Pelodiscus sinensis: one gene and its partners. The protein of the gene in region 1 interacts with the protein of each later gene in a pairwise test. Links are inferred from orthologs where the notes say so. Each region holds a gene or a part of one and is shown on either strand. Other genes may lie near its edges.

Evidence for each region.
Region 2: the proteins of thyroid receptor-interacting protein 6-like (region 1) and RHOQ interact in a two-hybrid assay, tested with the Homo sapiens proteins (2 studies listed by BioGRID and IntAct). The two-hybrid records come from large-scale screens. The link is inferred for Pelodiscus sinensis from reciprocal best matches to the Homo sapiens genes TRIP6 and RHOQ.
Region 3: the proteins of thyroid receptor-interacting protein 6-like (region 1) and PPP1R16A interact in binary tests that used the Homo sapiens proteins (3 or more experiments, as listed by UniProt). The two-hybrid records come from large-scale screens. The link is inferred for Pelodiscus sinensis from reciprocal best matches to the Homo sapiens genes TRIP6 and PPP1R16A.
Region 4: the proteins of thyroid receptor-interacting protein 6-like (region 1) and LPAR2 interact in a two-hybrid assay, tested with the Homo sapiens proteins (2 studies listed by BioGRID). The link is inferred for Pelodiscus sinensis from reciprocal best matches to the Homo sapiens genes TRIP6 and LPAR2.

What each region holds. Positions count from the first base shown.
Region 1 is NC_134734.1:9,899,345-9,907,349, reverse strand, and holds the start of thyroid receptor-interacting protein 6-like, read right to left. Parts: upstream 3,016-8,005; 5' UTR 2,995-3,015; coding exon 2,802-2,994; intron 2,492-2,801; exon of another isoform or gene 2,483-2,491; coding exon of another isoform or gene 2,293-2,482; intron 2,069-2,292; coding exon 1,893-2,068; intron 1,450-1,892; coding exon 1,330-1,449; intron 1,324-1,329; exon of another isoform or gene 1,258-1,323; coding exon of another isoform or gene 1,081-1,257; intron 629-1,080; coding exon 17-628; intron 1-16. Other genes in the region: BCL6B (B-cell CLL/lymphoma 6 member B protein), read left to right, coding at 7,542-7,717. UniProt on the Homo sapiens protein: Relays signals from the cell surface to the nucleus to weaken adherens junction and promote actin cytoskeleton reorganization and cell invasiveness. Involved in lysophosphatidic acid-induced cell adhesion and migration.
Region 2 is NC_134713.1:164,186,035-164,193,773, reverse strand, and holds the start of RHOQ (rho-related GTP-binding protein RhoQ), read left to right. Parts: upstream 1-4,728; 5' UTR 4,729-5,181; coding exon 5,182-5,323; intron 5,324-5,852; coding exon 5,853-5,911; intron 5,912-7,739. UniProt on the Homo sapiens protein: Plasma membrane-associated small GTPase which cycles between an active GTP-bound and an inactive GDP-bound state. In active state binds to a variety of effector proteins to regulate cellular responses. Involved in epithelial cell polarization processes.
Region 3 is NC_134712.1:1,124,663-1,132,389, forward strand, and holds the start of PPP1R16A (protein phosphatase 1 regulatory subunit 16A), read left to right. Parts: upstream 1-4,721; 5' UTR 4,722-4,838; intron 4,839-7,727. Other genes in the region: uncharacterized protein LOC142826897, read right to left, coding at 1-40, 676-898. UniProt on the Homo sapiens protein: Inhibits protein phosphatase 1 activity toward phosphorylase, myosin light chain and myosin substrates.
Region 4 is NC_134729.1:14,363,197-14,370,310, reverse strand, and holds the start of LPAR2 (lysophosphatidic acid receptor 2), read right to left. Parts: upstream 3,016-7,114; 5' UTR 2,976-3,015; intron 1-2,975. UniProt on the Homo sapiens protein: Receptor for lysophosphatidic acid (LPA), a mediator of diverse cellular activities. Seems to be coupled to the G(i)/G(o), G(12)/G(13), and G(q) families of heteromeric G proteins. Plays a key role in phospholipase C-beta (PLC-beta) signaling pathway.

The DNA of each region.
Region 1 (8,005 bases):
TTTACTCTCACATTACCTGGTGCTGGTATCCTCCTCTGTCACCAGGGGGCACCTTTGCTGACACCGCCATCTCTTCCTTTCCTGGAGTCCCCACAGCAGCTTGGTACTGAGTCCCGGATGCCTCTCCTGGCTTCGCCAGCCCTCCTGCCTCATAGCATTCCCCCTCACCCAGCCTCTTGCCATAGCCCCCAGGCTCCAGATACCAGCCCTCCACCCCCCTGCCACCTGGCTCTGAGCCGTACTGGGCCCCACGGCCAGCTCCGGGTGATGGGGGTGCATAAGCCTGCTCAGCCCGGCGTCTCGGCTGACCATAGCCTAACACTGGCTGGGCAACTTTGACCTGGATGTTGAAGGCTGGCCCAGCTGATGTGGAGGCCGTGGTGTAGGATGCAGGCATAGGCTGTGGATACAGCTTCTGCCCAGGCAGCATCCATGGATAGCCAGCCCCATATGGGGGAGCTGGCCCGGAGGGAGCCATTGAGGTGGCAGGTTGGGGCAACGGCCCATATGATGAGCTCTTGGAGGCACAGGGTGGGGCAAAGGAGCCTGGCTTGTAAGGGCTGGGCATTTTGTGGGCGCCAGGTTGTGGGGGGGCAGTTGCTGATGGATACGGGACAGAGTCGAAGTTCTGGAGACGAAAGGAGAAGATGAAACAGACATCTGGAAGCAGATAGGTGAGGATTTGGGGATCCCTGCTGTACTTGGGGGGATATCTAATGACTCCCTAGCCTACAAATCCACCTCACCCCAAAATGCTCCCCACCCCAACCCTCAACACATCAAAAGAGCCACCATTCCCCAAGGAACCCACCAAGACTGCAAGTTAACGCTCAACTTTGGCTACATCAACAATGGTCCCATAAAACCATCAATATTGCACAAACCGTCGAAGCTGAAAGCTTGTGGCATACTCCATTAGCAAGCTTGGATTTTTAGCTTTCCAGCAGCACATGACATCTCTATGCCCAATGGTTCAGGAGAAATCAGGCACTAAAAGAGGCCCAATGTGACTCCTGTGTACCATCCTGATTTCCCTTACCGCAGGATGTAGGTTGGAAAGTAATTTCCAGTGGCTAATACCTGGAGAACTGGGGGAAGGAGAAATGGGTAGCTGATACCACCTGGAAGTTCTGGGTCTTTGCTTTCCAATGGCATCATGTGGAGTCTGGATCCAGTGGTTCTGGAGATGCTGGGCACTGGTGTTGCCATATGATGGCAAGGAGAGGGGCAAGAAGGTACTTGGAAAGAAGTGATCATAGGGCTGACATTTCATTGGTGGGAAAGTCTGTGCCAATGAAACCACCGCCCCAAAGCCTCCTGGCTGTTTACCTGCCTCTCTCCCTGGCGCTGGGGGCCGGTGCTCTCCATATCTGCCAGCATATGGGTGAGTGAATCTATTTGGGCGTCAATGCTGGAAGGGCGGTGGGGTCCTGGATCTAGGGCAGATCCCTAAGGAAACAGACAGCAGATTAGAGTGTAGAGATAGGGGGGCTGTATGGTACAGTCCAGACTTGCAAGATGGAATCACAGAGTGCAGCTGCTGACCTAGTGGCAGGCAGTTCCACAAGTTAACAAAAATCGGGCATTATGCTCTAGGGCATGAGATGGGCAGGATCAGGAAGGCACTTTCTCCTGTGCCCCCTATGACAAAGGCAGATTAATTATGGGAAAATTAAGCCTTCAAGGATACTGTGCTGTCACCCTATGGGAGAGCTTTTACTCCCACTTCCTCTACTACCTCAAATCCCTGAGGGCTAGGAGAGGTTTTGAGGGGTGCTCCGGGCTGGGGGGATGCCCTTCCAATGCCATGCACATAAGGAAATTCACCCTGAGTCCTGCCTTTACAAGGACTCCATGTTCTGGCCCATCCTCCCTCCTGTTCCACCTCCTACCTGGATGTGGTATCCTCGTGCAGCAGACAGGGCAGCCCCCCACGGTGCCCCCAGGCCTCGCTCATCCTTGGCCCCAGAGACAGATGGGTGATGATGCTGGGAGCCAGCCAGGGGGCCAAAGCTAGAAAGCAGGGGGGCCGGCCCCCTGGGATCCTGATGATGGGGGGAGAGGCTGCCTAGAGAGGGAAAAAGGAGTCAGACCCCTCCTGCTCTGTGCTGGCTCTCAGTCCCCCTGCTCTAACCATCAGCCCCCACTCTCCTCCCTGAGCTGGGGGGAGAGTCCAGGAGTGTGAGCTTCCAGCCCCTCTGCTCTGATTTGCTCCCTTGCAACCCAGGCAGGCATCCACTGCCCTCACCTGGATCAGACCCATCGGGCATGGGGGGAGGGGGAGGTATTTACCGGGGCCCTCTGGCTGGTAGCCCGTCCCACTCATGCCTTCCCCGTTCTGTTCCTGGGGGGCCAACCGGGGGGATGCAGGGCCCGTGGCATGTTTCTTCTGGGGTTTGCAAAGCGCCGGAGCAGAGACTGAGACGCCGGGAGACCCCGAAGAACTTGCCCGCTTGGGGGGGAGCCAGGTGGGACCGGACATCTCGGGGACCTGTGGGGGGAGTGGTGTAGAGAGGTTAGAGGGGGAAGAGCGAGAAATCAGGACTCCTGGGTTCTCTCCCCAGCTCTGGGAGGGGTGTGGGGCAGCCCTGGTAGCCGCGGGGGAGGGGGGGGGATGATGTAACTCGCACCTGGCCTCATAGCCCTGGTTTTGGGAAGGATTCCCACGGGTGTGGGGGTCTTACTCCAGCCTGCTCCGGTTCCCCCCCCCCGTGGGTGCCCGGGGGGAGGAGAGGTGCGAGGAGGGGGTGTCTCTGGTCACGTGGGGGAATACCTGCGGGGAGGAGGGACCCGCTACTTACCTAACCCCGAGGGGGAATCCCGGCGGGGGGTCCCACCGCCTCCTGTCTTGCCCCGCTGGGAGGGTCCCTGGCTCGCAGGGAAGAGTCCTAGAGCTTCCGGATCCAGCCAGCTCCGAACTTCCCGGAAAAGTTCCCCCTCCCCCACCTGCCCCCAAAAACTTTTTAATGGACCCCCTCGATGACGACACCACATTCCAGATAGGGTCACGTGGGGCTGGGAATTCCTGCCACTTCCGGTGGGGGGAGCATGGGATGGGAGGGGCAACCTAGGCCCACCCTGGGCTGGGATGGAGGCAGGGTCCCCCGCCCACTCTGGGAGGGGAGTGAGGGGTGGTGGGTTAGAGCAGAGCTGGAGGTTGGGTCGGGGAGGGGCTGGGAGCCAGGACTCCTGGGTTCTCTTCCTGGCTGTGGGAGGGAGCGGCCTGGCTCTGGGTGGGGAACTGGATACCCGCCTTTTCCCTGGCAGAAGGGTTTCCTGGGCCCTGCTTAGCATCCCTGGCTCCCTTCCAGCATTATCAATCCTTGAGCCTCTCCTGCTACCTTATCAGTCCTGGAGATTATTGGTAGCCTGTCTGTTGCAGATTTGTGCCCATGCTTGACCCTGTGCAGCCTCTGGGGGAACCCCCTTCCCTGCGACAGCCTCTTCTCAGGGGCCACTCTCTTTTGGGAGTTAAGCCCCTTAACTCCTTGGACTGCACCTCTCTGAGCCCCCAGCATGCCTGTTTCTGTTGTGGGCCCCCTCAGGGAGTGCACTTGTCCTGGACCCTTGAGCCTGCACTCCCAGAGGGAATAATGCAGCCCTGTTCTCCAGACCAAAACGACTCTCAGCTATAAAACAGGAGGGTTTATTTAGCGTCTGAACACAGCATAGAAACTGTCAGGGTTGGTAGGCCTGGCCTCCCTCAGCACAGCGGCTACGTCTAGACTGGCACGAATTTCCGAAAATGCTTTTAACAGAAAAGTTTTCCGTTAAAAGCATTTTCGGAAAAGCACGTCTAGATTGGCAGGATGCTTTTCCGCAAAAGCACTTTTTGCGGAAAAACGTCCGTGGCCAATCTAGACACGGTTTTCCGCAAAAAAGCCCCGATCGCCATTTTCGTGATCGGGGCTTTTTTTTCGGAAAACACTACTATGCTGTCTACACTGGCCCTTTTGGGCAAAAGTCTTTCGGAAAAAGACTTTTGCCCGAACGGGAGCAGCATAGTATTTCCGGAAAAGTATTGATGATTTTACATTAGATTGTCAGTGCTTTTCCGGAAATTCAAGCAGCCAGTGTAGACAGCTGGCAAGTTTTTCCGCAAAATCATCTGATTTTGCAGAAAAACTTTTCAGTCTAGACACAGCCAGCATGTTTGAGTCTTCCCTGAAGCCAGGTGGGCTCTGGGTGCTCTGTTCCCCCTCCTATCCTGCGCCCTGAGCACTTCCTATCTGGGCCTCTGATATTCCCTGCCCCCAAACCCCATGGCTGTCCTAATTTCCAGGGCCCCCACCCGCTGCAGGCCCTGCCCCACCCCTGTTCAGGCCCCAGGCACCATGTAATGCCATGGGTCTTGTCTATAGGATGTTTTTGGCGGTCACTACAGAGACCCCAAAGGCACAGGGCCTGGGGTGGCACAGGGCCTGGGGTGGCTGCCCCAAACCGTCCTATGGCTGTCGATGTCTTCTGTCCTGGTAAACAAGCTTGCCCTGGCCCCTCTCTTTTCTGTCTCTCTTTCCCCTCATCTGTCCTTTGTCCTCATGGGCTGGAACCAGCTGGATAGGTCATTGGGGTCCTCTCTCTACTGTCTGGGCTGGGGTCACCAGTCACTAGGGGTACCAGATGATTTAAAAAAAATACCAGACACACTTGATCTCAGATTGGGGGGAGGACTGGCCGGGAAAGGAGCGGGGCTGGCCAGGAGGAGGTTGGGGGGAGCAGGGCTGGTCGGAGGAGATCAGGGTGGGGGAACGGCCGGTGGGAAGCAGGGATGGCCAGGAAGAGATTGGGGGGAGCAGGGCTGGCTGGGAGGGGATCAAAGGGAGCAGGGCTGGCCAGGAGAGGGTTGGGGGGATTGGGGCTGGCCGGGGGGGAAGTGGCCGGTGAGGAGTGGGGCTGGCCGGGAGAGGGTTTGGGGGAGTGGGGCTGGCCAGGGGGGAGTGGGGCTGGCCTGTGGGGAACCGGCCAGTGGGGAGCGGGGCTGTCTGGGAGGGGAGTGGAGGAGGAACTGGCCGGCGGGACTGGCCCGGGTGCACGCAGATCCCGGGGTGCTGCCCATCCTGTGCATGGCCCTGGCGGGGCGCAAGAGCAAATCTGGCCCCAGGGATTCCATCCCGCCCCGGCCCCGGCCCCGGCCCTAGCCCTGGCCCTGGCCTCACCTCCCTCCTCTCTACTGCGTAGTTGCGTACTGATACTCATGATAATATTAAAACTTACTTAATTAGAAAATACCAGACATTTATATGTCCGGTATTTTCTCAATTTGTTTCCTGGACAGAAAGCTCAAATACCAGGCTGTCCGGTTCAAAACCGGACCCCTGGGAACCCTACCAGTCACCGGGGTCTCCATTCTCCAGCCCACTGGCCAGACTCTCCAGTTCTGTGTTGGTTCCTGTAACAACCAATTCCCTCTTCCCTCCCCTCGTTAAACCAATAAGAGAGAGGGACTTGGAAACCCACTTCCCCACACCATCCACACAGGCAGCCACCAGGAAAATCTGAATAGCTAATCTAGGGAGAATGGCTCCTTCAGGCAGGACTCTGCCCAGACACACACTGAAAGAAAATCCCTGACCCAAAAAGCTGACAGTCTGATGTGAGAAAGGAAACTGAGGAACAGCAGAATGGGACTGACCCAACATCACAGCTAGGGCTAGAACCCAGAAGTCCTGGTGCTCAGTTCCCGTTATCAGGGCCCAGTTCTGCAGCATGCCACCTGCTTAGCAAGGGGCTGACACTGCAAGTCAGGGAGCTCCGCAGTCCCACAGCGCCACAGAATGGCCACAGGCTGGTGCCAACAAGTCCTGGAACTACAGTGATTCTGCTGCTGGTGGGGGCTGGGAGCCCTGGTGCTGCTGGTACATACAAATGTGGGTTCAGCAGACCAATGCGGAGAGGAAGGTGGCAGCGGGTGCAGCCCTGGGCACAGGGAATGGCTTCAAATGAAGCTGGGCTGCTCAAGCTGCCTTTTAAATGTGCCCCAACCCACGACGCTGCTAGGCTGTCTTCCTCCCCCCGCAGTGAATGATGTCACTGCCTGGGGAACCCCACCCTCCCTCCCCACTGAGCTTTTCCTGCATTTGTTGCTGTACCACAAAAGGCTTTGTGTCCAGAAACATCCAGGGACGCCTTTCTGCTACTGAGATGTAGCCATCTCTAGCGTGGGGTTGCCAGTTATACAAGGGCCCCCCGCCCAGTGCTGAGGTACAGCCATCTTAGGGGGTGAGGTGGCTGGTTACACAGGGACCCCTCAACCTGGCCACCTTTGGGATGGGGCAGCTGGTTACACGGGAATCCCTTGCCTGACACTGAGATGCGACCACTTCTGGGGCAGGACAGCTGGTTACACGGGGACCCCTTGCCTGGTGCTGAGATGCAGCCTCCTCTGGGGCGAGGTGGCGGGTTACACAGGGACCCCTCTCCCAGTGCTGAGATTTGGCCACCTCTGGGGCAGGACGGCCAGTTACATGGGGACCCCTCACTTGGCACTGAGCTGAATGTGTTTGAGCTATCCCATTGCTCCCCTGCCCCCCCAGACCAGTGTGTCTTAATCTCGTCAAACTTGGGATCGGGGTCCAAAACAAACAGTCTATTTCCTCCTCCCATCATATTCCCACCTCCGTGCCTTCCCCCCGGCCCTGGCCCCTCAGCACAGGCGAAGACAATACGAGGAAATGGCACAGAGCAAATTCACTCAGAGACCTAACACTCAAGCTGCCCCCCACCCCAAATCCCAGTCCCTTCCTCCCAATTCCTGGGTCTGGGGAACCAAGGGTGTCTTAGCATAGCAATGGGGTGACTTGAGTAGGAGAGGCTGGGAGCCAGGGCTCCTGCATTCTCTCTCGGGCTCTGGGAGGGGAGTCAGGCCTGGTGGGGTAGAACAAGGGGGCTGGAAGCCAGGATTCCTGAGTTCTTGCCTTGGCTCTGGGATGGATATGAGAACTAGCAGTTAGAGTGGGGAGCTGCATTTGTTTGTGGATCTGGGATTTGTCCTACCTTTTTCCTGAAAGGTCTATTAATAACCCCCCTCCACCCCCCGCCTTTTCCCTGGCAGCTGGGCCGGGGCAGGAAGGATGTGAACTAGAGAGAGAACTTCCCCCTGTCCCTCCAGGACATTATAAGAGCCTCCAGCCCTGCTGAGTTATTGGAGGCTGGTTCTCCAGGCCGGGGGAACAGCTGGGACTTTACCACCCCTCTACACCCTGAAAGTCCTGCTGGCAGGAGTGTCCGAGGGTCCCTGCTGGTCAGGGTGAGCTGTCATTACCTGGTCTCCTGGGTTTTCTCCTGCCTCTGGGAGCGGAGTGGGGGCTGGTGGGTTAAAGCGGGGGGAAAGGGCTGAAAGCCAGGACTCTTGGGTTCTCTCCTTGGTTGTGGGAGGAGAGCGGGGGCTGGTGGGTTAGAGCCAGGGAGGGGAACTGGAATGCAAGACTCTTGCCCCTCTACTCTGTGTGTCTTACCCTCCCCTCTGAGTAGCCCTGTCTCTTCCCCTCCACATACACATCTGGCCTGCGGGAACCCTCCCCACCCCTGTATCTGCAGGCGCCATGAGCAGGGGCACTGCCAGGGGCCCAGCTGGCTGCGTCCGGGAGTTCACACGCCACGCCGGCGACGTGCTGCTGAACCTGGACCAGCTACGCCACCGCCACGTCTTGACCGATGTCACCCTGCTGGTGGGGGGACGCCCCTTGCTGGCCCACAAGGCTGTGCTGGCAGCCTGCAGGTGAGGGGAAGGGGTTGTCAGGGATGGGGGCTTAACTAAAGAGGATGTGGCTGGTGCAGGGTCTGGGGCATGGCTAGAGAGGGTGTGGCTGTAAGGGATAGGATGTGACTAAAGAGAGTGCTGATGGGGGACAGGGCATGGCTAGATAGGTGGGGTTTTGAAGGAATGGGCGTGGCTAGAGATAGTATGGTTATGAGGCATGGCATGGCTAGAGAGGGCGTGGCTGTGGATGTGTGGCCATGGCTATAGAAGAAAGCAATGCCTTGGTGGGCATGGTTGTGATGAGAC
Region 2 (7,739 bases), on another chromosome or scaffold:
AAAAAAAATTTAATCCCCAGCATGGCCCCTTTAAGAAATGCTTTGAGACTTTTTGGCCCTAACAGGCTGTTAGCGGCCGTACCATCTTGTCTCCCTGCTCCAGGCCAGACAGCTCCTCTGTGGAACTAGGTACGCACCCAGTATTATCACCTTCTGGCTGGGAAAAAAATCAGAATTAGGTGTCCGGACAGGACGTGAAAATACCAGACTGTCCGGGTCAATACCAGACACCTGGCAACTCTAGGGGCATGGTGAGGCCAAGCAGGGGTGGGAGTTTATGGAAGAAGTAAGTGGGTGGACAGCAGGGTGAAGCAGAGGCAGGGTGAATTGAGGCCTATGGCAGTAGGATTGTTCTGGGCCCTGCACCAGGGGCACTGTGGAGTGGGGGGAGGTGCTGTCCCAGGCCACATGCCTCCCTTGGAATGGCCCTGGCAGGGCTGACCCCTGGGGCATCCCATTTGATACCAGTTTTCAACTACACATCAAGCTTTTGATTGCTGCCCAATGAACCAAATGATCCATACTTCTTTAACTTGCTGGCAAGAATACTTTGCAAGATCTATCAAAAGCTTTGCTAAAGTCAAGGTATATCACATCCACCGCCATCCCCATATCCAAGGAGCCAGTTCTCATTATAGAAGGTTCATCAGACATGATATGGCCTTAGTAGAACCATGTAGACTGTTCCTGATCACCTTTTTCTCCTCCAAGTGTTTCAAAATGGAGATCTCCCAGCTCATGGGTTGAGTAAAAGCCAATCCCACCCAATAGCTCCTACTAGTGAGTCTCCAGCCACTCTTAGATGTGTAATGCTTCTGCCAGATAGCACCAGCAGCAGCAAGGGCTGGATTCAATATCTAGGGGTTCCTCTCCATCCACCCAACACAGAACTGGCTCAAGTCCCCACCCAGAAACCTGGGAAACTCACACACACCTCTGGGCGCCTCTGGGAGGCAATACTCCGCCTCTCACAAGCACAGAGTCTGAGCATAGAAAAGAAACCTTTAGCAATAGGGGCAGGAAGTAAAGTGGCATTAATTTGGGAAAACACCACAGAGTTCATAACCAAAACCACGAGTAAATGTCCCAGCTCACGTAGGTTTAGCAATGTCCTTTTCCTCTCAAGCACTGAAGTCCAGCAAAGTGTCCCCTTCACATGCACAACCCTTCTTTGCACCCCACTCACAGTCGCTACCCTTGGTCAAGGCAGACCAGAGCTCAGAGGTGAGCTGCAGATTTAACCTCTCATCCTGAGTGGGGGTAGAAGGCATCTCACCCACTCCACTGGTCACTCACCACCTGCTCATCTCATCTTCCTATGGCTTGTGGTGGATTTGGTTCTGGGACAAACCTTGTGATTTCAGCTTTTAGCCTAAAGCACAGACAAGCCACAAGAGATTCCAGCATCCTCTGGAGAATGTTTATATACAAAAGAGACTCCTTATGGAACCTTTCTTTAACTCCATAATTGAAACAGTGGGGAGAAACAGATTGAACCAGTCTTACAGTTCCTGCCTGGCAATCATACAACCTGCTAACTCACCTCCCTGCCCAGCTTAATATATAGGGGTCTGGAAGATGAGCCTCTGCCCATCCAAGTGTATTTACACTGACAGGGTCTCTCCTTTGAACTGAGTTAAACAGTCTGACTTTTCTGCATTCCCGATAACTGCAAACATTGTTGATCATATCTCACAATTCCTGCATTTAGTGTTAACATGGTTAGTGATCCCACAACAGCCAAATTGGTTACAATGGGCAAAACACCTTCTAACAGTTGACTATCTAGAAGGCCTAAGCAAACTGAGTGAACTGTATTTACATAACCATACCCAGGTTTTCCTTCCCATTTGAGTGTGCTGTAATGGAAACATGATTCAGACCCTACTTACAGATGGGAGGGAGTGGAATAAGTAGATGGGAGGGAGTGGTTAAGTAGGATGGCCAATCATGAATATAGTGCTGGGATAAGTTAAATTTAGTTCAGAGTGAGACTCAGACATATGTGGGAACTGGTACCCCCTGAGCAATGCCAGCACACCATACACAAATGTGTAAGGACAGCTCTGATTGGATAAGATAGTACTCAGAAAAGAATGGCTCCTATTAGAAAGACCTCTATAGAGCACAAATTGCCCTCCTCTATGATTTTTCTAGGAACTAAGGTGAGGCTGACTGGTCTGTAGTTCCCTGGATTCCCCTTCTTCCCTTTTTTAAAGATGGGCACTACATTTGCCTTTTTGAGTCATTTGGGACCTACCTCAGTCACCTCAAGTTTTCAAAGATAATGGCCAATGGCTCTGCAGTCATATCAGGCAATTCTCACAGCACCCTCAGATGCATTAGATCCAACCCATGGATTTGTGCATGTCCAGCTTTTCTATATAGTCCTTAACCTGTTCTTTCACAACTCACCTTCTCCCCATATTGTGCTACCCAATGTAGTAGCAGTCTGGGAGCTGACCTGATCTGTGAAGTCTGAAGGGGGAAAAAAAAAGCAGGTAGTAAGAACTTCAGCTTTTTCCACCTTATGTGTTCCTAGGTTGCCTTCCCTGTTGAATAAGGGTCCTACAGCTTTCCTGACCTTCTTCTTGGTACTAATATATCTGTAGAAACCTTCCTTGTTATCCTTCACATCCCTTGCTATCTGCAACTCCAGTTGTGCTTTGGCCTTCCTGATTATACTTCTGCATGCTGTATAACACTCCAAGCAGATGTCAGAGTGATTGAAATCCCCCATGTGAATCTGCACCTGTGATCTGGAAACTTCTGAAGAAAGCCTCGTCTACCTCATCCTCCAGGTATTTTTTCACACAATACACAATCAACCTGTGGTTCACTTTGCCAGAGGTTGTTGTAAAGGCCAAGATTACAAGGTTCAAAGAGCTAGATAATTTCATGGAGATTAGGTCCATCAATGGCTATTAGCCAGGATGGGCAGGGATGGTGTACCTAGCCTCTGGGAATGGGTGACAGGGGAGGGATCACTTGAAGATTGCCTCTTCTGCTCATTCCCTCTGGGGCACCTGGCATTGGCTACCATCAGAAAACAGACTACTGGTCTAGATGGACTTTTGGTCTGGTCCAGTGTGGCCATTCTTATGTTGTCATAATCAATATGCAGAGGGCGGCTGTGTCTCCATCGTCTTCTGTATCTCCATGATCTTCTCCAAAGTGAGAAAATGCTGCTTCACTACTTTAGAGTTTTATGTAAGGACATTTACTTTGTACACTTTGACATGTGACACTAACTATAATGTCCTTCAACTGTGAACATTTAAATTCATAACAAATAAAATATTATATCCTATAATTTTGCACAACTGCTAAAATGTAATTTGATAAATATTGTAAAAAATGCTTAAAAATAAACATCAATATCCATTGAAATGATTAAACAATAAAAATGGATTTCACCAAGACTAAATAAAAAGTGAGTTTTACTATCACTGAGCTGACTATTAGTGTGGTCTCCTGCATTAAAGAAATACTACTGGGGGTTGAACTCTGAGCACCAATGGGAGTTTTGCTATTGATCTTAATGATCAATAATCTTAATAATCTTAATGATCATTCATAATCTCTTATACAATATATTTTATCATTAATTCTTGCCAAGCTAATGTGAGGGTGTTGGCCAACAAAGCTACTGGGAACTCAATACATTTCAGGGCCTTGGCAAGTAGTAAGTTAACACTGCATCCAGACTTCTCAATGATGGTTTAAAACTTTAGTTAAAGCCAGCAGCACTCTGTCATGTGGATGGCATTGCTTGTTTCCTGAAGACCCAACATTTGTGGCTGTTTGGATATATGGACTATTGTTATTTAATAGCCATGAAAGACCTGGTTACTTCAGCACTTATTATATATTAGAGATGGGTTCATGTAGAGGCACATCTGTATTTAGGACAGAATGTAATGACTGGGACATATACACATTTCCAATACATTAGCATATGAACATGAAATTCAGACCCAAGAAAATATTTGTCTCCCTATGAAGACATCTTTAAAATATGTCCAATGCTGGGGGGAAAGGAGGGAAGAGTCATTTTCTGTCCTACTCTTTTCATACTGGTCTCAGCAATTAAGCCACATTTCAACCTGACACCATTTTGTTTTGAAAAGGCTTCTTATTCATAATAGATTATTTTATGGAGGGAAGGGGGAAGGCGGTCCCAGCAAGTCTTCACAGTAGGAAAATTAATTGGTATTAATTTCTAACCAGCCCAAATCAGAGTCAAGAGGCAAGGAGGCTCCCTAAATTCTAATGTCATTTTTAATAAAATCTACCCCTTTTGGATGAAGGGTTTTGTGGAGTGTTTGGTGGAAAAGAAAGCAACTGAGCCACTAGTAACTTATGTTGGAGATGACGTTTTATTGTGCATCGGTGTGTGTGTTTAATATAGGTACGTGTTGTGTGCATATCAGCATCGCTCTCCTGCTAGCTAATCCCTCTAGTTTAAAACTCCCTCTTTCCGATACACAGCTCGTCTAGAAGACGATCGGCTCCAAATCAGCGGGCATGTGATGCTGGGTTTATTTGAGGAAGGGATTTATTTCCCCTTTTCTTTTTCTTTCCAGAAGGAAGCCCTGGGAGCACCTCTAACGCCCTGCACGTTTCTGAGAGCGGCTGGCTCTTTGGAGAGGAGCCCTCCGTTGCTCTTTAGCAATTTGGCTTTGCTCCTCCTTTCGCCTCCGAGTAAAGCTAGTCTGAGATTGCAGGGTTTCCGAAGTGGTGGCAGAAGCCTGGACAAGTTGGGGGCGGGGGCGGGCAGGAAAGTAAAGTGGCAGAAGACTTGCTTGCGGGCGCCCTGCGCTGCAGCCCCTCTGCGGGGCGTTTGTCTCTGCAGCCGGGAGGGAGTGGGGGGGTGGCTTGCCCCTGGGGCAGCGCGGGCCAGAGGCGGCGAGCGCCGCGCTTCGGGTACGGCTGTGCCTGCCCAAAGTTCCCGTTTTCTCGGGGCTGCACGTCTTATGATCCATTGTGTCATCGCGCTCCGCTGGAGCGAGGGGAAGGCAAACCCCTCGCAGCCAAATTTGGCACTGCCCGGGGGAGACATGTCAGCGCCGGCGAGCTGCGGCGCCTGCTGAGCGACCCGCGGCGGGGGGGGCGGCGAAGATGCGGACTCGCCCTTCGGCGCGGCGCTGAGCCCGTGACCATGCCGACTGGCCGCGCAGCATGGCCAATGGGACGGGGGCGCTCATGCTGAAGTGCGTGGTGGTGGGAGACGGGGCCGTGGGCAAGACGTGCTTGCTGATGAGCTACGCCAACGACGCCTTCCCCGAGGAGTATGTGCCCACCGTGTTTGACCACTATGCAGGTAAGCGGGCGGGCGGGCTCAGAAGTGCTGAGTAAGAGGCTCCTCCCCTGCCCCCGGAGAACTTTAGAGCAACTTTGCCATTTTCCCACCCGGAGCCTCTCTCCTCCTGCCGTGACCTTCTTCACAAAGTCTGGGTGTTGTACCCCGGCCGCTCCGGCCTCCCGCTCCCAGCCGGGAAGGAGCCTCCCGAGGACAGGACATAGGAAGGATCCTGCCCAGTGTGTGAAACTGCCTGGGGGAGGGGTAGTGCCGCCTATAGAAATGTCTGGACTAGATGGGTTTTTTTTTAATGCAAGTACCCGGAATGGTAGAAACGGGACTTCCAGTGGTGGCGGGTGTCTGGCGAGGGCGACATAACTATGAAACCCATTCTTTCCAAATCGCCAAGTGCACTGCAGATGTGTTCTTGCGCTAGCTTTTTAGACCTGCTTTTTTTTAATCTGCTTGTGTAATTGAAAACATTCCTCTGAGCCTGTATGCCCTTTCGCTACAGTATTAGCCATGCCTGTATTTTTTTTTCCTTTTACAGTCACTGTTACAGTTGGGGGAAAGCAGTATCTGTTGGGGCTCTATGACACAGCAGGACAGGTGAGTACTTTCAGACTCAGCCAGAACTCGAATCCAGCACCTGCAGGTTTTTATTATTCCAGCCGAAAGCATTTTCCTGTGTAATGGAGGGGTGTTTGCATCTGTTGGGCTGTCTCACTTTAGTACATACGCAACCATGAAAATAACCAAGCCTGGAAGACAATTCAGGCTGGACTCATTGGGGGGTGAGGGAGGGAAATCCGCCCCTGATTCAGTCTAACTCAGGATATTTGTTTATGTCGAACTGCCTCACTATGCTTTAGGGGGTAGCCGAGTTAAGCTGTTACAGAAAAAACCAACAAATGGTCTGGTATCACTTTATAGACTAACAAAACATGTAGATGGTATCATGAGCTTTCGTGGGCACAGCCCACTTTAACTCCGGTCATCTGAAGAAGTGGGCTATGCCCACGAAAGCTCATGATACCATCTATATGTTTTGTTAGTCTATAAAGTGCTACCAGACTATTTGTTGTTGTTTTTGCCTCACTATGGTGATTTGTAGTAATTGCCCACTTTCATGTGCTGCCTTCAGAAAAACATGATGTTGGGTTTTTAAAAAATTATTCAAACTCTTATTCCACTCAGCTGTGATAGACTTTTTTAGTTTTAAATGGCCAGTTTCTCTTGAGTTCTCTGTCTGGTCCCTTATTGGTGACTGAAGTACATGACTGAAGGGTTCTGATTGGTGGCTAATGGCATCATCTTATATTATGGGAAGGCATTTTGTCTGGTTAGGTTTATTACAGCATCACATCACTTGAATTCCTGAAATCATCATTCTGAGTCCAAACAATTGCAATGACTTCTGTAGCCTGTCTAGATTTGAAACCCTCTTTTGATTTGTATTTTGCTGTGTAAGACTTGTTTCTTTTTTGTTTCAAGCGCACCACATTAGACAGAATCCCATATTAATGGCAGTCTCTCTTCATCATGCTTAATTAAGAAAATTTTAAATAACTAGAAGGCGTTTCCAGCTTATAAAAAGGACATTGTAAAATGAGGCAGTGTCACTTCTTGCCACCTCATTTTATAATGATTTAATTGGTGCCTTAACAAAACAAACTGAATTATTTGTGCTTGAAAGCTTCCAACTACAAATCCTATTGTGAAAGGTGCTTTATCTACCTGTGGTTTTAAAAAACTGTTTATGGCAAACACAGTCTGCCTGAAGTGCAAGGGATCTCCAATATTATTGTATTGCTTTTGGATGACTATGCAAATAAAATGCTACCATTCCTTCAAAAGTTTGTGAATGGGTTTGCTGGTGTCTGGTACAAAAAAGGTTGGGAACCACTGCTTTGGAGGATAGGGTCATAATTCAAACTGGTCTGGACAAACTAGAGAAATGGTCTGTGGTAAATAGGATGAAGTTTAAAAAGGACAAATGCAGAGTACTCCACTTAAGATGGAGCTATCAGTTCCACATACAAAATAGGAAATGACTGTCTAGGAAGGAGTACTGCAGAAAGGGATCTAGGGGTCAGAGTGGACCACAAGCTAAATATGAGTCAACAATGTGACAGTGTTGCAAAAAAAACCAACCCATGATGCTGGAATGCACTGACAGGAGTGTTGTGAGCAAGACACAAGTAGTAATTCTTCTGGTTCTGGGCACATTTCAAAAAAGATGTGGAGAAATTGGAGAGAGTCCAGAGAAGAGCAACAAAAATGATTAAAGGCCTAGAAAACATGACCTATGAGGGAAGACTGGAAGAATTAGGTTGTTTAGTTTGGAAAAGGGAAGATTGAGAGGGGACATAACAGCTTTCAAATACCTAAAAGGGTGTTACAAGGAGGAGGAAGAATAATTGTTCTCCTTGACCTC
Region 3 (7,727 bases), on another chromosome or scaffold:
GGCCAGTTCAGCTCACAGCCCCGGATGGAGTTGGACAGATCTGAAACAGCCCCAGAAAGGAAAGAGCAATTCGCAACAAGCAGCGCTGGCTGATTCCCCACCACCCACCTCTAGCACCTTCCCTGGCAGGGGAAACCGAGGCACCGGGCTCTGACACGCGCCACTTGCCCAGGGTCACACATGGGCCTGAGCCCCCGGCAAGTGGCAGGACGTGCCTTCGCTGCTTGTGCAGAGAGAGCGTGCGTGTGTGTGAGACGCAGGACCAAAGGTTTCCCCTGGGTTGGGCCCCCACTTGCCGGCTGTCCCCACTGGAAATCTGTCGGGCTGCCAGCGAGTGGAGAGGGGTCAATGGGTCTCCTTAGGCTCGCGGCAGCCCCTCTACAGCCAGGGCACTGGCTGGCGGTCAGTATCACTTCCTGCCCCAGGCACCCCCGTCTGCCCCGGATCCTGCCCCCCCAAGGGCGGCAGCAGCAGGGCGACAGGCAGGAGAGGGGGGCAGGCCTGTGGGTTCGGTGCTGGCGGAAGACCCAGCGCGGATACAGTGTGTAAAACTGACCCACGCGATTCCACGTGTGAAGCCGCGGTCGGCGGATTGGCAGGGCTCTAGGGGCCGGCCGCCCACACGCCCCTCGCGGCAGCAGCCACGGGCTCTCCCCAGCGCTCTCTGGGCCTCACCGGAGATGATGGAGGCGGTTGAGATCTGGGAGCCGGCTCCCTGGCCATCCCCCCACCAACAGCCTCTCCCTGGGGCATCGTTTATATAGTCCGGGTCGGTCTCCCAGTCGTCCGCTTCATCCTCGCAGGAAGGGAGGAGCCCGGCTCGGTCTATTCTGCCACAGGGCCCTCCTTTCCCGCAGGCGTGGGGGGCTGTGCCCCACGCTGGCCCTGCCTGGGCCATGGCCGGGGCTCCGGCAGGCCGTGGGGAAAGGCGGAGCCTGGAGCCTGTGCTGGGGGATGTCTCTGGACCCAGCTCCAGGGGCTGTGAAGTCTCCCCATTGTGATGTCAGCAGAACGCCCCTGCGAGACTCAGCCTGCAAAGCATGCTGGGGGCTGAACGCCAGCTGCGCTGCCTAACGGAGCCGGGAGCCTTCGGCACCGTGGAGAGTTGGCTCCCGAAGGCTTCGCGGCGTCAGGCTGGAAGGGGAGACCCCCTGGGGAAGCCGCGGGGGCTGCTGTCCTGAGCCAGCGAAGCGCCGACAGGCGGGCCCGAACCGGGCACCTCCGGAGCTCAGGGCAGGAGGCGCTACAGCTTGGGCTAAAAGCCAGCTGGCGCTCAGCTTAGGCGGTAGGGCAGGGGTGGGCAAGACAGCTTCCAGGGGCCGGACTCACCCGGCCTGCAGCTGCCTTGCCACTCCCCCCCCCCCCGGCCAATCGAGACCTGGGGATGGGGGAGCATGAGAAGTGTCCTGGCTCCGCCCTTTCTGTCTGAGGCCCCGCCCCTTCCAGGGCGGCCGACTGTAACAATTTGCGAAGTGGCTGCTCTTGAAAAATGCTTGCCCATCCCGGCTGCAGAGCCAGCTCATTCTCTCTCTGGAAATGGCCTGCGTGCCACCCCCGGGGACGGTGCCCCACCCCCATCAGGAGCCAGGGCTGCAGGACGGGGTGGGGGGAGGCTGCCTCGCCTTGCCGTCAGGGCCCACCCAAGCCCCAGCACAGATCGAGGGGTGCATGACCCGGGAGGGGAGGCTGCCTTGCTGTCAAGGCCAACTCCAAAGCCCCAGGACAGGAGGGTGCCAGGCTGCAGGCATCAGCGAGGTCGCCCAGAAGGGGGCGCTTTCCCTGGTGAATTTGCACGGATCCTAGTGCCTTCTTCACAGCTACAATCGGGAGCTGCCTCGGAAGCCCTGGCACGGCTCAGGGGACTCTCGATGTTCTTCTGGCCTGCTGTGCGGCGAGGCCCAGGCCTGCTCCCTGGCACCCCGTGTCCTAGGGAGGTGAGCTGCTAACCCTGGCTGCAGTGAGACACCGGTGCGGCCTCGGGGCGCTGGGCCGGCCAGCGTGCTTGGGAACGGCTTTCACAAAGCCCGGCTCGGGGACACTGGCAGGAAATGAACGGGTGAACTCGGGCAGCCGCATCAGCTCCCCTGGCCCTTCCCGGCCTGCCTCAGCCTTCCCCGCCTGGCCCGCCGCTGCCTCTCCCGGCTTTTCCTTGCTGCCCTTTCCCTTCTTGTCTCCTTTCCCCTCTGCTTTTGGGGTTCCCCCCCCCATGCCTCTTCTCCTTTTTCTGTCCAGCTCTAGAGCTGTTCCTGCTTGTCCTTCTCTGCTGCGTGTCTGTGGCTGGCTACCTGCGCTTTGGGCCACCGGTCCCCATGGCCTGCCAGCCTGCTGGAGAGCTACTCCCTGGCTATGTCTAGACTGGCATGATTTTCCGGAAATGCTTTTAACGGAAAAGTTTTCCGTTAAAAGCATTTTTGGAACAGAGCGTCTAGATTGGCACGGACGCTTTTCCGCAAAAGCACTTTTTGCGGAAAAGTGTCCGTGGCCAATCTAGACGCGCTTTTCTGCAAAAAAGCCCCGATCGCCATTTTCGCAATCGGGGCTTTTTTGCAGAAAACAAATCTGAGCTGTCTACACTGGCCCTTTTGCGCAAAAGTTTTGTGCAAAAGGGACTTTTGCCCGAATGGGAGCAGCATAGTATTCCCGCAAGAAGCACTGATTTCTTACCGTAGGAAGTCAGTGATTTTGCGGAAATTCAAGCGGCCAGTGTAGACAGCTGGCAAGTTTTTCCGGAAAAGCGGCTGATTTTCCAGAAAAACTGGCCAGTCTAGAGACAGCCCCTGTGTGAGCCCAGGAATGCTGCAGGGAGCAGCGTTATGTAGCCCCAGTGGGGTGGGGGGGTAGAATATGGGTCAGGAGCCAGCAGTCATACCCTGCTGTCGGGGCCCCCGCCTTTGGAAATCTCTTGGCTAGAGCATACAGCGCTCAGGGAGACTGGCTAGGCTAGGGCAGCTGTCCGAAGCAAAGGATAGAGACACAGCAGCCGCCAGCCCTAAGGCCGGCGAGCGTAGCTCCTGCGCGGCAGGGAAACCCTTCACCCTCCAGGCAGCCGCAGAGGGAAGCCACCAAGGGACAGGGTGGAAATGTCATGGCACTGAGGGGCTGGGATGGGGGAGGAGGTCTGGTGACTTGGGCTAGGATCCAGGAGGTTCCCTTCAAATGCAGCTGCCTGCGAAAGGAATTTGAGGGGGCAACCGAGTGAGTCTGTGGCAGAAAAAGCAGCGAATGGTCTGGTAGCACTTTGACTAAGGAAACATGTCGATAAAACAAAAGGAGAAACTGGGCAGCACTTTAGAGACTAACAAGATGGTTTATTAGGGGATGAGCGTTCGTGGGCCAGCCCCACTTCCTCAGATCAAATTCTGGACGAGAATTGGCAGGACCACGTATACCAAAGGATACAATGGAAAAGTGAACCCGTTGTTAAACTGACAGATCAGATTTAGTCCGGAAGGTGGGGTGAGAGGGCGGGAGGGACCAGCTAGCTGAGTCACTGGCTCATCGGGGGGGGGGGGGGGGAGAGAGTGGGGAGCGATCTTCCTAATGGCTACGGCAATTAGCATCTTCTACCAGCCCATCTGCTGGGCCGATCGCTCAGCTGCCTGTGGGGTGGGACTAGCCCCCGCCCCCGCCAGCCCCCTTCTCCTCTGGGGCTCCTATTGCGCTAGGGCTTGGTCCCAAGTGTCAGGAAGGGGGGAAGGGACCTTCCAGGGAGGCAGGCGGCATTGGCACTGCGGGCACAGCCTGAGCTGGGGGGGAGACCGGCCTGGGCAGCCTGGAGCAGCCCGCTGGACAGCAGGGCCCAAGGGGGAGGGGCCCAGCTGGGCGGAGCTAGGGACCGGCCAGGCCCTCGCGGGGGGAGGGGCCCAGCTGGGCGGAGCTAGGGACCGGCCAGGCCCTCGCGGGGGGGAGGGGCCCAGCTGGGCGGAGCTAGGGACCGGTCAGGCCCTCGCAGGGGGAGGGGCCCAGCTGGGCGGAGCTAGGGACCGGCCACGCCCTCGCGGGGGGGAGGGGCCCAGCTGGGCGGAGCTAGGGACCGGTCAGGCCCTCGCGGGGGGGAGGGGCCCAGCTGGGCGGAGCTAGGGACCGGCCAGGCCCTCGCGGGGGGAGGGGCCCAGCTGGACGGAGTTAGGGACCGGCCAGGCCCTCGCGGGGGGGAGGGGCCCAGCTGGGCGGAGTTAGGGACCGGCCACGCCCTCGCGGGGGGAGGGGCCCAGATGGGCGGAGCTAGGGACCGGCCAGGCCCTCGCGGGGGGAGGGGCCCAGCTGGGCGGAGTTAGGGACCGGCCACGCCCTCGCGGGGGAGGGGCCCAGCTGGGCGGAGCTAGGGACCGGCCAGGCCCTCGCGGGGGGAGGGGCCCAGCTGGGCGGAGCTAGGGACCGGCCAGGCCCTCGCGGGGGGAGGGGCCCAGCTGGGCGGAGCTAGGGACCGGCCAGGCCCTCGCGGGGGGAGGGGCCCAGCTGGGCGGAGCTAAGGACCGGCCACGCCCTCGCGGGGGGAGGGGCCCAGACGGGCGGAGCTAGGGACCGGCCACGCCCTCGCGGGGGGAGGGGCCCAGCTGGGCGGAGCTAGGGACCGGCCACGCCCTCGCGGGGGGAGGGGCCCTGGCCAGGATCCCGGGGCATGCGGGTCCCATTGCCTCTCAGGCCCCGCCCCCTCGCCGCGCGCCCGTGGCCCCGCCCACCTCCGCTCGCTCGCGCCGGCGGCCGCGCCGAGCCGGCCACTTCCGGCGGGAGCGCCGCCCCTAGCGGAAGTGTGGCTGGTTGCTATGGCGAGGCGCCGTGGGGACCCGCCCTTGCGGGACAGAGCCGGAGAGCGGCCCGGCTCCTGCCGACGGCGGGTGAGCGCGGCCGGCTGCGGAGGGGTCACGTGATACGGGGGCTGTGGGGGGACTGGGCCCTGGTGGGGGGGTGCGGAGAGGGTTCTGTGTGGGGGGGACTGAGGGCCCTGGGGGGGCAATGGGGGGGTGGGATTGGGGGTTCTGTGATGGGGAGGTTGTGGGGGGGACTGAGGGCCCTGGTGGGGGCAGTGGGGGATTGGGTGGGATTGGGGGTTCTGTGATGGGGGGCTGTGGGGGGGACTGAGGGCCCTGGTGGGCGCAGTGGGGGATTGGGTGGAATTGGGGGTTCTGTGATGGGGGGCTGTGGGGGGGAGTGAGGGCCCTGGTGGGCGCAGTGGGGGATTGGGTGGGATTGGGGGTTCTGTGATGGGGGGCTGTGGGGGGGAGTGAGGGCCCTGGTGGGCGCAGTGGGGGATTGGGTGGGATTGGGGGTTCTGTGATGGGGGGCTGTGGGGGGGAGTGAGGGCCCTGGTGGGGGCAGTGGGGGGGCGGGATTGGGGGTTCTGTGATGGGGGGCTGTGGGGGGGACTGAGGGCCCTGGTGGGCGCAGTGGGGGATTGGGTGGAATTGGGGGTTCTGTGATGGGGGGCTGTGGGGGGGAGTGAGGGCCCTGGTGGGCGCAGTGGGGGATTGGGTGGGATTGGGGGTTCTGTGATGGGGGGCTGTGGGGGGGACTGAGGGCCCTGGTGGGGGCAGTGGGGGGGCGGGATTGGGGGTTCTGTGATGGGGGGCTGTGGGGGGGACTGAGGGCCCTGGTGGGCGCAGTGGGGGATTGGGTGGAATTGGGGGTTCTGTGATGGGGGGGCTGTGGGGGGGACTGAGGGCTCTGGGGGAGGCAGTGGGGGGGTGGGATTAGAGGTTCTGTGATGGGGGGCTGGGACAACCTATAGACTGGGCAGGTGTCCCGTGTGGCGGGGGCGGGGACACTGTTACCGATGTTTTTAAGTGACGTTGGGAACCCTGGGGGCTCTGTTGTTTCCCTCGTTTCGCTGTCTGCTGACACTTCGGGGGGCAGTGGGGGAGCCCAGTTGGTCTTGAGCCAAGTGAGCGCAGAAGAGAATTCATAGGGGCTGTGAAGGTGGCAGACTATTTCCCTTCCCCGCTTTCCCATATCAGGATTTGAGAGGGGTGTTGCCCAGCTGGTGAAACTTCAGCTGGAGCAGAGACCTGTTGTGCAAATGAGAATGTGGGTAGGGGGTGATGGCTATTCACGTGTTAGTTCACGTTTATGTTCCTGTGGCCCCAGTCTGGATCAGAGCCCCATTGTGCGGGGTGCCGTGTAAACATGTAAATGAGGTCCTTGCCTACAGTCTAATCAAATGTCCTACAGAAAGGGATGGACATGCAACATGTAAGAGAGACACGGAACTTGGTCAGCCATTGATTTTCTCAGCTTTGTTCTTTTGTCCAGGTACTTCACTCCGCTTGCGTTAGCAAGTGTGGTCGCAGTGTCTAATTTCACTCTGCCCTTCCTGTTCTCTTGGAGCTCCAACACTTGTGTGTCATTTCAGTGCCTTTTGCGGTATTTTTCTTGCACCTTCTAACCAGCACCCTTTCCTTTCCTGATCAGAATGAAAGGCCTGCAGCCATGTTTTTCTAGTCCAGTCCAGTTAATTGCTATGATTCAGAGGGGACTCTAATGGCCGGTTCCCTCCCTGCCCCACTGCTGATGCTTCCGTGGAATGGACTGGATTAGAGATGTAACAGTGTAGTCGATTAACTATAAGCAAAAGCGTATCGGTTAACGCTATAAACTACACACGTTTCCCAGCCCCTCTTGCCAGTAAATTTTTTAGCAGGCTGGCCAGCAGGCCAGCTCAGTCCTGCTTCTCGTTGGATCCGGGACCTACCCCCGCTGTGGCTCTGCATTTAAAGTGTATTAGGAGCCAGGTGGGCAGGCAGTCCAGCTTGTGCTGTGTTCAGGAGCTCAGCCCCACCCCTGGACAGGGGCTGCTGTCATCCCGGGCTGCTGCCTCTGTGACAGGCAGCCGGTCTGCGAGGGGAGCTGGTTTTTCAACTGCCTCCCCTCATAGACCAGCTCCTGCCTGACACCCTGCACTGCTGCCTCTATTATATTAAATATTATAGAGGCAGCAGCGCCGAGTGGCAGGAGGCTCCTCAGGTGTGGGGCTGGAGTGCACTGCCTGCTGGCCCCACCCTCGGGGTCCAGTGTTTTTGTGATGGTACTGCCAGGTACTCAGTACCGGCACTTCCAGACGCAGTACCGGCATTTCCAGATGTAGTACCCGCACCTCCAGTCAGAGCTCAACAACTTTTCCCCTGGAGTACTGGCACTTTTTTTTTTTTTTTTAACAAAGCACTGCAAGGGTCTATAGAATAATCGAGTAACTGATAAGAATTCATGAGGTTACTTGACTATTCAATTAACGAGTATTTAACATCCCTAGATTGGATCAGATCACTGGTCAGAATCTTGTCTCTTAAAGTGGCCAACACCAGATGCTAAAGAGGAAGGTTTAAGAAATCCCAGAGCAAGAAGATACGGGTTAATCTGCTCCTTGTGAAGGTCTTATCCAAATCACTAATAGTTGGAGATTAAGAATCATAGAACCATAGAATACTAGGACTGGAAGGGACCTTGAGAGGTCATTGAGTCCAGTCCCCTGCCCTCACGGCAGGACCCAGTACTGTCTAGACCAGTGGTCCCCAACGCGGTGCCTGCGGGCACCATGGCGCCCGCCGGGGCATTTGTAGGCGCCCGCCGACAACCCGGGCTGGCCCCGCCCCCGGTGCACTGGAGGCGCCGGCCCCAGGCACGCGACACTCACCGGCGCCTGGTGCGCGGCGCTCGGGCGGCCCCAGCCCCGGGGCACATGCGGGCGTGCGGCGCCGGTGCCGGCCCCAGGCACGCAGCTCGGGCGGCGGCGC
Region 4 (7,114 bases), on another chromosome or scaffold:
CGTGGAGAGCCAGGAGGACAGGGGAGCTGGGCCCCTGGGCTCCCCAACCCTCCTTGCCCAGGGGCCCGGCTCCCCTGTCCTGGCCCTTGTAAATTGCCATGCCCCATTTGCCCTCCCCCTCAGTCTCAGCTGTGATTTTCTAAGTTTACCTTTATTGCAAGAAGAAAACCTTCTGGGCCATAATGTTGCATTAATGCCTCATTGTTAGATGTTTTTTGCATGACATTCCCATAGGAGTTACTTTGGAGGAAGATGGGGGAGGAGGACTCCCCACATTTCTTGGTCTTTATCCCCTGAGGAGGTGGCTTAGGGGAAAGGGTGGAGTGCAGGTGGAATGGAGGCAGAGAAGGGGTGGAGCATGGGGGGGGGGGGTTGTTCTAGGCCCCGCATCCCATCAGGGATGGCCCTGCTGGGCACAGCCAGTAGGAGGGGGCGCTGGAGCTAGCGCTACCCCATATGCAGCACCTAGGGGACCATGGAATTTGGTGCCCAAAATTTTGTGGTGCTCTTTATGGCTGCATATTTTGCATATATTGGTAGAGATAGTCATGATGTGGGGTGGGGGTGGCCAGAGTGTGGGCGGGGCCACACCTTAGAGTTTGGGAAGGCATTGCCTTCTCCTGCCTCTGATTCCCTCCACCCATGCTGATCAGAGAAGAAATACAGACGTTCTGGTAGTGGTGCACAGCTGACTGGGAAACTTCACTCAGTAGTTATCAAAGATACACAGTCCAACTGGAAGGGCATACGATTGGGGTGCCACGAGAGGTCTAGTTCCATTCAGTATCTTCATAAATTATTTGAATAGTGGCATAGCGAGGACAGTGTTAAAGCTGCAGACATAGCAAGCTAGGGGAGGGTACAAACACTTTGCAGCATAGGATTCAAGTCACCTTGAGAAACTGAAGAAACTGTCTGAAATAAAATAGGATAAAAATAACTAAGTACAAATGCAAAATGTTGTGTTCAGGAAGGAATAATCGATGGCACACGCACAAAGTGGGAAGTTCTGCCTACGAAGCAGTACAGCAGAAAAGGATGGGAGGGTTAATGCTGATCATATATTAAACAAGAGTCAACTATGTAACAGAGTTGCAAAAATAGCAAACCTCATTCCAGGATGTATTAGCAGACAAACAAAAGAGGTAATTCTTCCACTCTACTCTGCACTGAAGTAATGTGTCCAGTTCTGGAAATCACTTTTTGGGAAAGATGTGGTCAAATTGGAGAAAAATCCAGAGGAGAGCAACACACATGATTAAAGGTCTAGAAAACAGGATCTGCAAGGACAGATTGAAACAGCTGGGTTTGTTTAGTCTGGAGACTAGAAGACTGAAGAGGGACATGATAACAGGCTTCAAGTACCTAAAAGTTTGTTGTTTTTTTGTTTAAAAAAGAGGGTGATAGATTGTTCTCCTTAACAACTGAAGACAAGACAAGAAGCAAAGAAGAATGGATTTGAATTGCAGCCAGGGAGGTTTAGGTTGGACATTAGGAAAAACTCACTGTCAGAGTAATTAAGCTCCGGAACAAACAGCTGGGTTATTGGGGAATCTCTGCGTCTGGGGGGTTTTAAGACTAGGTTAGATAAACAGCTGCTGGGGGAGGGGAGAAGTTTACTAGATATGGGGTTCTTAATCTTTTACCTTCTGAGCACCCCACGCTCCCCTGACATGTTGCCCAGCTGTGCCACAAGAACTGTTTCACTGCATAGAAAAGCCAGCGGTGCAGTGAGGGAGTAGCAAGGTGGACAAGTGCCCGGGGTTCCACGCTACAGGGTGGCACCACAAAGCTATTACTTAGGGTTCCTCTTCAACCCCTAGTGGTGGGGCTTGGAGCCCCTGGCTGCAATCCTATGCAGCAGGGCTCTGGCTTTCTGCCCTGGGCCCTACAAAGTCTGATGCCAGTCATTCTTGGCAGCCCCCCTGAAACCTGCTGGTGGCCCCATTGGAGGCCATAAGCCCCCAGTGGAACATTCATGCTGTGGCTCCTGGCAAGAAAATGGAATTTCTACTGAGCCTAATGGATTTAGGTGCCTAATTTAATGAAAGTGGGCAACTAAGGCTTCTTTGAAAAAACCCAGCCTATGCTCCCTGTTAAGGGCCTTCTCATCTAGCTCTGGTTTCTACAGGATTCTGTTATTCGTTCGGTGTAAGTGACTCCAAGTCCAGTGATTTTCATCCTGGAGTCCCTGCACCCTAGGGGTGCGCAGACTCTGCCTAAGAGTCCCAAGGGAGTCCGCACACACATTTGGCATTTTTTAGGTGCCCACAAATGAAAAGCACGAGAGCCCCTTCTTTCATTGATGTTCACAGAAGATGGAAACGTGTGAACTGAAAGGAGGATTTGGCCCATCATCCAACTGCTCAAGGAGTATTAAGCTTAAAATAACAAGCTTCAATAAATTGTACATCACAAAAGCACTGATCCCAAAGTCAAATACAGACACAGGCCCAGGCTCTGCCCCTATAGATTGGGAGTTGCTTCAGATTTACACTGGGTCTCAATGAGACGGATTTTGGCCATTTGGGTAGGGGAAACAGAATTAGGGCCTGATCTTAGACCCATTAGAACCAACGGAGGGAGTCCTATTTATTCAGGGGGCATTTAATCCAGGCCTCTACTGCACAGAGTCAATGGTACAAGGGAGGGGGGAGAAAACTCAGGTTTCCAAGTGTGACACATAAAGAGAGGGAGCCAGGGTGTCCGAGGAGCATGGGAAGTTATCCCCAGCAATATGGGCTTACATGGGCAATTACCTTTATCTGAGACAGTTACTAGCCACTGTTCCTTTCATTGAAGGATTTAATTAACATTTGCTGAACATGACAAGCCATAACTATGTAACAGGGTTTGGGGAGAGGAAGGGAAGGAGAACTGTGCCAGGCAGAAATGAAAAAAAGCCTCCCTCCCATTAGAGCAGGAATCAGTAGGCAGGAATAGGAGCCCACCACCAGGAATCAGAGCCAGGTTACCTGGAACAAGCAGCTAGTGGCCAGGAACAAAGACTTTGCAGAGCACCCACTGCTCCAGTCACTGGGTGTAACTGTAAGCTGATCTGTGGACTCTTCCTACCAATCAGGCCAGGTATCCAATCACAAAGCCCACTACAGGCCAGCTGTGCTGGTTAGTTTGCTGGGAGATCATCTGCATTTCCTGGTTGCTGATACAGAGTCCCAGCTCTTTGGGGGTCACTACTCACCTTATATTTAACCGTACAATTTTCATGGGTAGTTGAGTTTTCCTGTTTCCTCAGGGTTCAGTTTCTTACCAATTGCTGCCTCCTCAGGATGGTGCCAGGAGGCACCCAGCTGGGAATCAAGGTCGCCAAGTGTGAAACCCTCTGGCTTTTCATTCTTTCTGTGATAAGAGGGTTATTAAGCAGTGCTGAGGCTCAGAAGTGCTGGATTAGGTGGTTGCATTATCCTGAATTAATATTGACTGTGGAAAAGAAGCTTGAAACAAGAGGTTTGTTTCTTGATGGCCTGGCTGATAAAATAACCCATTCATTTAGGCATAAGCTTTTGTGGGCTGGGAAGGAGCTTATGCTCAAGTAAATTTGTTAGTCTTTAAGGTGCCCGGGGCCTCATTGTTTTGGCTGATAAAAGTCTCCTTCTCAGACAGGTGGCCGCGTCACTCTGTATCTGCATCTCTTTGTTAAGGTTACGAGGGCCTTACCTCCCAGTCATCTATAATAACTCTATGGCTACGTCTACATTGGCATGATCTTGTGCAAGAACTCTTCCAGAAGAGAGCGTCTACATTGGCATGTGCCTTTGCGCAAGAGATGTGCTTTTGCGCAAGAGCATCCTTGCCAGTGTAGACGCTCTCTTGCACAAGAAAGCTCTGATGGCCATTTTAACCATAGGGCTTTCTTGTGCAAGAAATTCATGTTGCCTGGCTACACTGGCCTCTTGCGCAAGAACAGTTGCACAAGAGGGCTTCTTCCTGAGCAGGAGCGTCATAGTTCTTGTGCAAGAAGCCCTGATTTCATACATTAGAACGTCAGTGTTCTTGCACCAAAACTCGAGGCCAGTGTAGATAGGCAGCAAGTTTTGGCACAAAAGCGGCTGCTTTTGCGCAAGATCATGCCAATGTAGACACAGCCTATGGGAAATATATTCTCTAGGAATCAGCACAGAGAGCAGCTGCCATGAAAACAGTGAGGCCCAGAGAAACAAGCGCAGTAGATAGAAAATCCCTTGCCTTTTGGCCTTCCCCTGCTTTGAAGTGGGAAGTGAGAGCCCAGACCTAGAGACAATTCCACTTCACAGACTTACCCCGACTGTGAGTTAGTCCCTGCAATACACACTTGAGAACCAGTTCTTTGAAGTGGAAACAGGGCCCCAAAGACATGGGAAGTCTGGGGGCACAAAGCTTCCCGTGTGAATTAGTATGATCTCTCACATTTCAACTTCCAAGAACAAAATAAATAAAACATTAACTGCATCTGAAAACACAGAGGCTACGTCTACACTGGCATGATCTTGCGCAAAAACTCTTTAGTGCAAGAGTTCTTGCGTTAAAGTAATTGTGCAAGAGAACATCTACACTGGCATGTGCTTTTGCACAAGAGCATCCATGCCAGTGTAGACGCTCTCTTGCGCAAGAAAGCTCTGATGACCATTTTAACCATAGGGCTTTCTTGTGCAAGAAATTCATGTTGCCTGTCTACACTGGCCTCTTGTGCAAAAACAGTTGCGCAAAAGGGCTTATTCCTGAGTGGGAGCATCATAGTTCTTGCTCAAGAAGCCCTGATTTCATACAGTAGAACGTCAGTTTACTTGCGCAATAACACATGGCCAGTGTAGACAGGCAGCAGTGTAAACAGGCAACTGCTTTTGCGGAAAAACTTGCCAGCTGTCTACACTGTCCGCTTGAATTTCTGCAAGAACGCTGACGATCTCATGTAAGATTGTCAGTGTTCCTGCGGAAATAATATGCTGCTCCCGTTCGGGCAAAAGCCCTTTTGTGCAAATGCTTTTGCGCAAGAGGGCCAGTGTAGACAACGCGGTATTGTTTTGCGCAAAAAAGCCCCAATTGCGAAAATGGCGATTGGGGCTTTCTTGCACAAAACCGCGTCTAGATTGTTTTTGCGGAAAAGTGTCCGTGCCAATCTAGATGCTCTTTTCTGCAAATGCTTTTAATGGAAATTTTCCGTTAAAAGCATTTGCGGAAAATCATGCCAGTCTATATATAGCCCTATGGCAATGTCTACACTGGCAGGTTCTTGCGCAAGAATGGCCATTCTTCCACAGTGTCTGCACTGCCCGCCTGCTCTTGCACAAGAAGATTTACAGTACGGCGTCGGAAGAGAGGGCTTCTTGCGCAGGAGCTATGCTCTTTTCTAACAGGTGTAAGCCCTCTTGTGCAGGAGCTCTTGCGCAAGAGGGCAGTGTGGACACAGATCACAGGTTTCTTGTGCAAGAAAGCCCTATGGCTAAAATGACCATCAGAGCTTTCTTGCACAAGAGAGCGTCCACACTGCCATGGATGCTCTTGCGCAAAAGCACATGGCCATGTGGACAAGTTCTTGTGCAGGAGTGCTTGTGTAGAAACTCTTGCGCAAGAACCCGCCAGTGTAGACATAGCCCTGGTGTCCTGTTCTCGAGTCTATTGTTAAAACCAGACTTTCCAGGTGAGGGCAGATACTTTAAGGAGTAGACCTTGTCATAGACCCCTTTGAAAATCCCCCTTCCTAGAAAAAAAACAAACAGAACCAACCAACCAACACAACACTCCCCAAAGCCCAGCTCTTCTAAGCAGTGGATCTCAAAGCACTTTCTCATGAGATGAATTCAAGGTTGGTCTGTTCTCTGAAGCCTTGTTTCAGAGGGGTGGCCGTGTAAGTCTGTTTCAGCAAAAACAGGAAGGCTGGTGGTACCTTAAAATAAGTTTATTGGGAGCAATATGCAGTGCTGTGACTGCTCATTTTTAGTGTTACATGGCTACCCCTCTGAAATGTTATCGTGAGCTACAGCTCACTTCCTCAGATGCTTGAAAGAAAGGGAGGGATATAGCGATGGGAGTGTAACGTCAGTGCTGAGTCACTCAGGGTGAATATGGTTCATCTCCAGCCATGATGAGAAGGTGAGTACCTGAAGGGGAAATGACTCCTTGTAAAGAGAGCCTTGCCATAGAATAAGCTTTAAGAAATTTCCCTTTTAGGTACTCTCACCACCTTATCATGGCTGGAAGTGAGCCACGTCCACCTTGCTTTTACACTCCCATCTCTCTATCCCAGCCGTTCTTCCATTTCAAGCGTCTGAGAAGAAGTGAGCTATATCTCACAATTAGCTCACCCTTATCATTTGTAAGTCTTTAAAGGTGCCACTGGACTCCTTGTTGTTTTCTCTGAAATCATTTACCCAGGTTTAGGCTAGTCTAAGTTTTAGATGACCCAGTGTGCGCAGTAGCTGATATTCTATTTGTTGAGGGACGTGTCCAGGATAGAAGAGAAGACCATAGTGCCTGCAAGTGACAGTGGGTTGCCATTTCTGTGTTACGTAATATATTTAAAAAAATTAAGTGGTTACTAGAGACAAAAATCTTCTTGCCTCACTCAGAACTCCACCCCCGGGGAGGAGGGGAGGGCTTTCCAAAACCTCCCTCAGATTGGAAGACTGTTCTCTAGAGAGCTCAAGTCTCACTGCTAGAAAACGGTGCCTGATTTCTGACTCAGCCTAGATTTCTAATTGCTCACGTTCAAAAGCAGCAGCCAAAGAAAAGCTATTCACAGTCTCTGCTGGGGTCCTGCGAGAGGTAACTCAGGGCAGCAGATGGGCCTAAGTGGTAAAGGCAAAGAACTACATGCCGCCTGCTCTCCCTCCTCCTAGTCAGGCTGTAATAAAAGTGTGACTCACCGGAAAGCTGTGGAAGATGGAAATGTGTTGCTTGGACACAGTCACCTGACCTGGGTCAAAGTCCCATGGCAGGGTCAGTTAAGTACCCCCCCAGTCAAGGAGGCCTAACCCTGAAATATAAGCACATGGCTACCCCCATGACAGGAATGAATGGGTAGAGGAGAGGAGCTAGCAAGATTCTGGCCAGCTCTTTCTGTCTGGGAGTCTGTCCAACTGTGTTCAGGCGCTCTCAGCTCCCCAGCAAGCGAGGC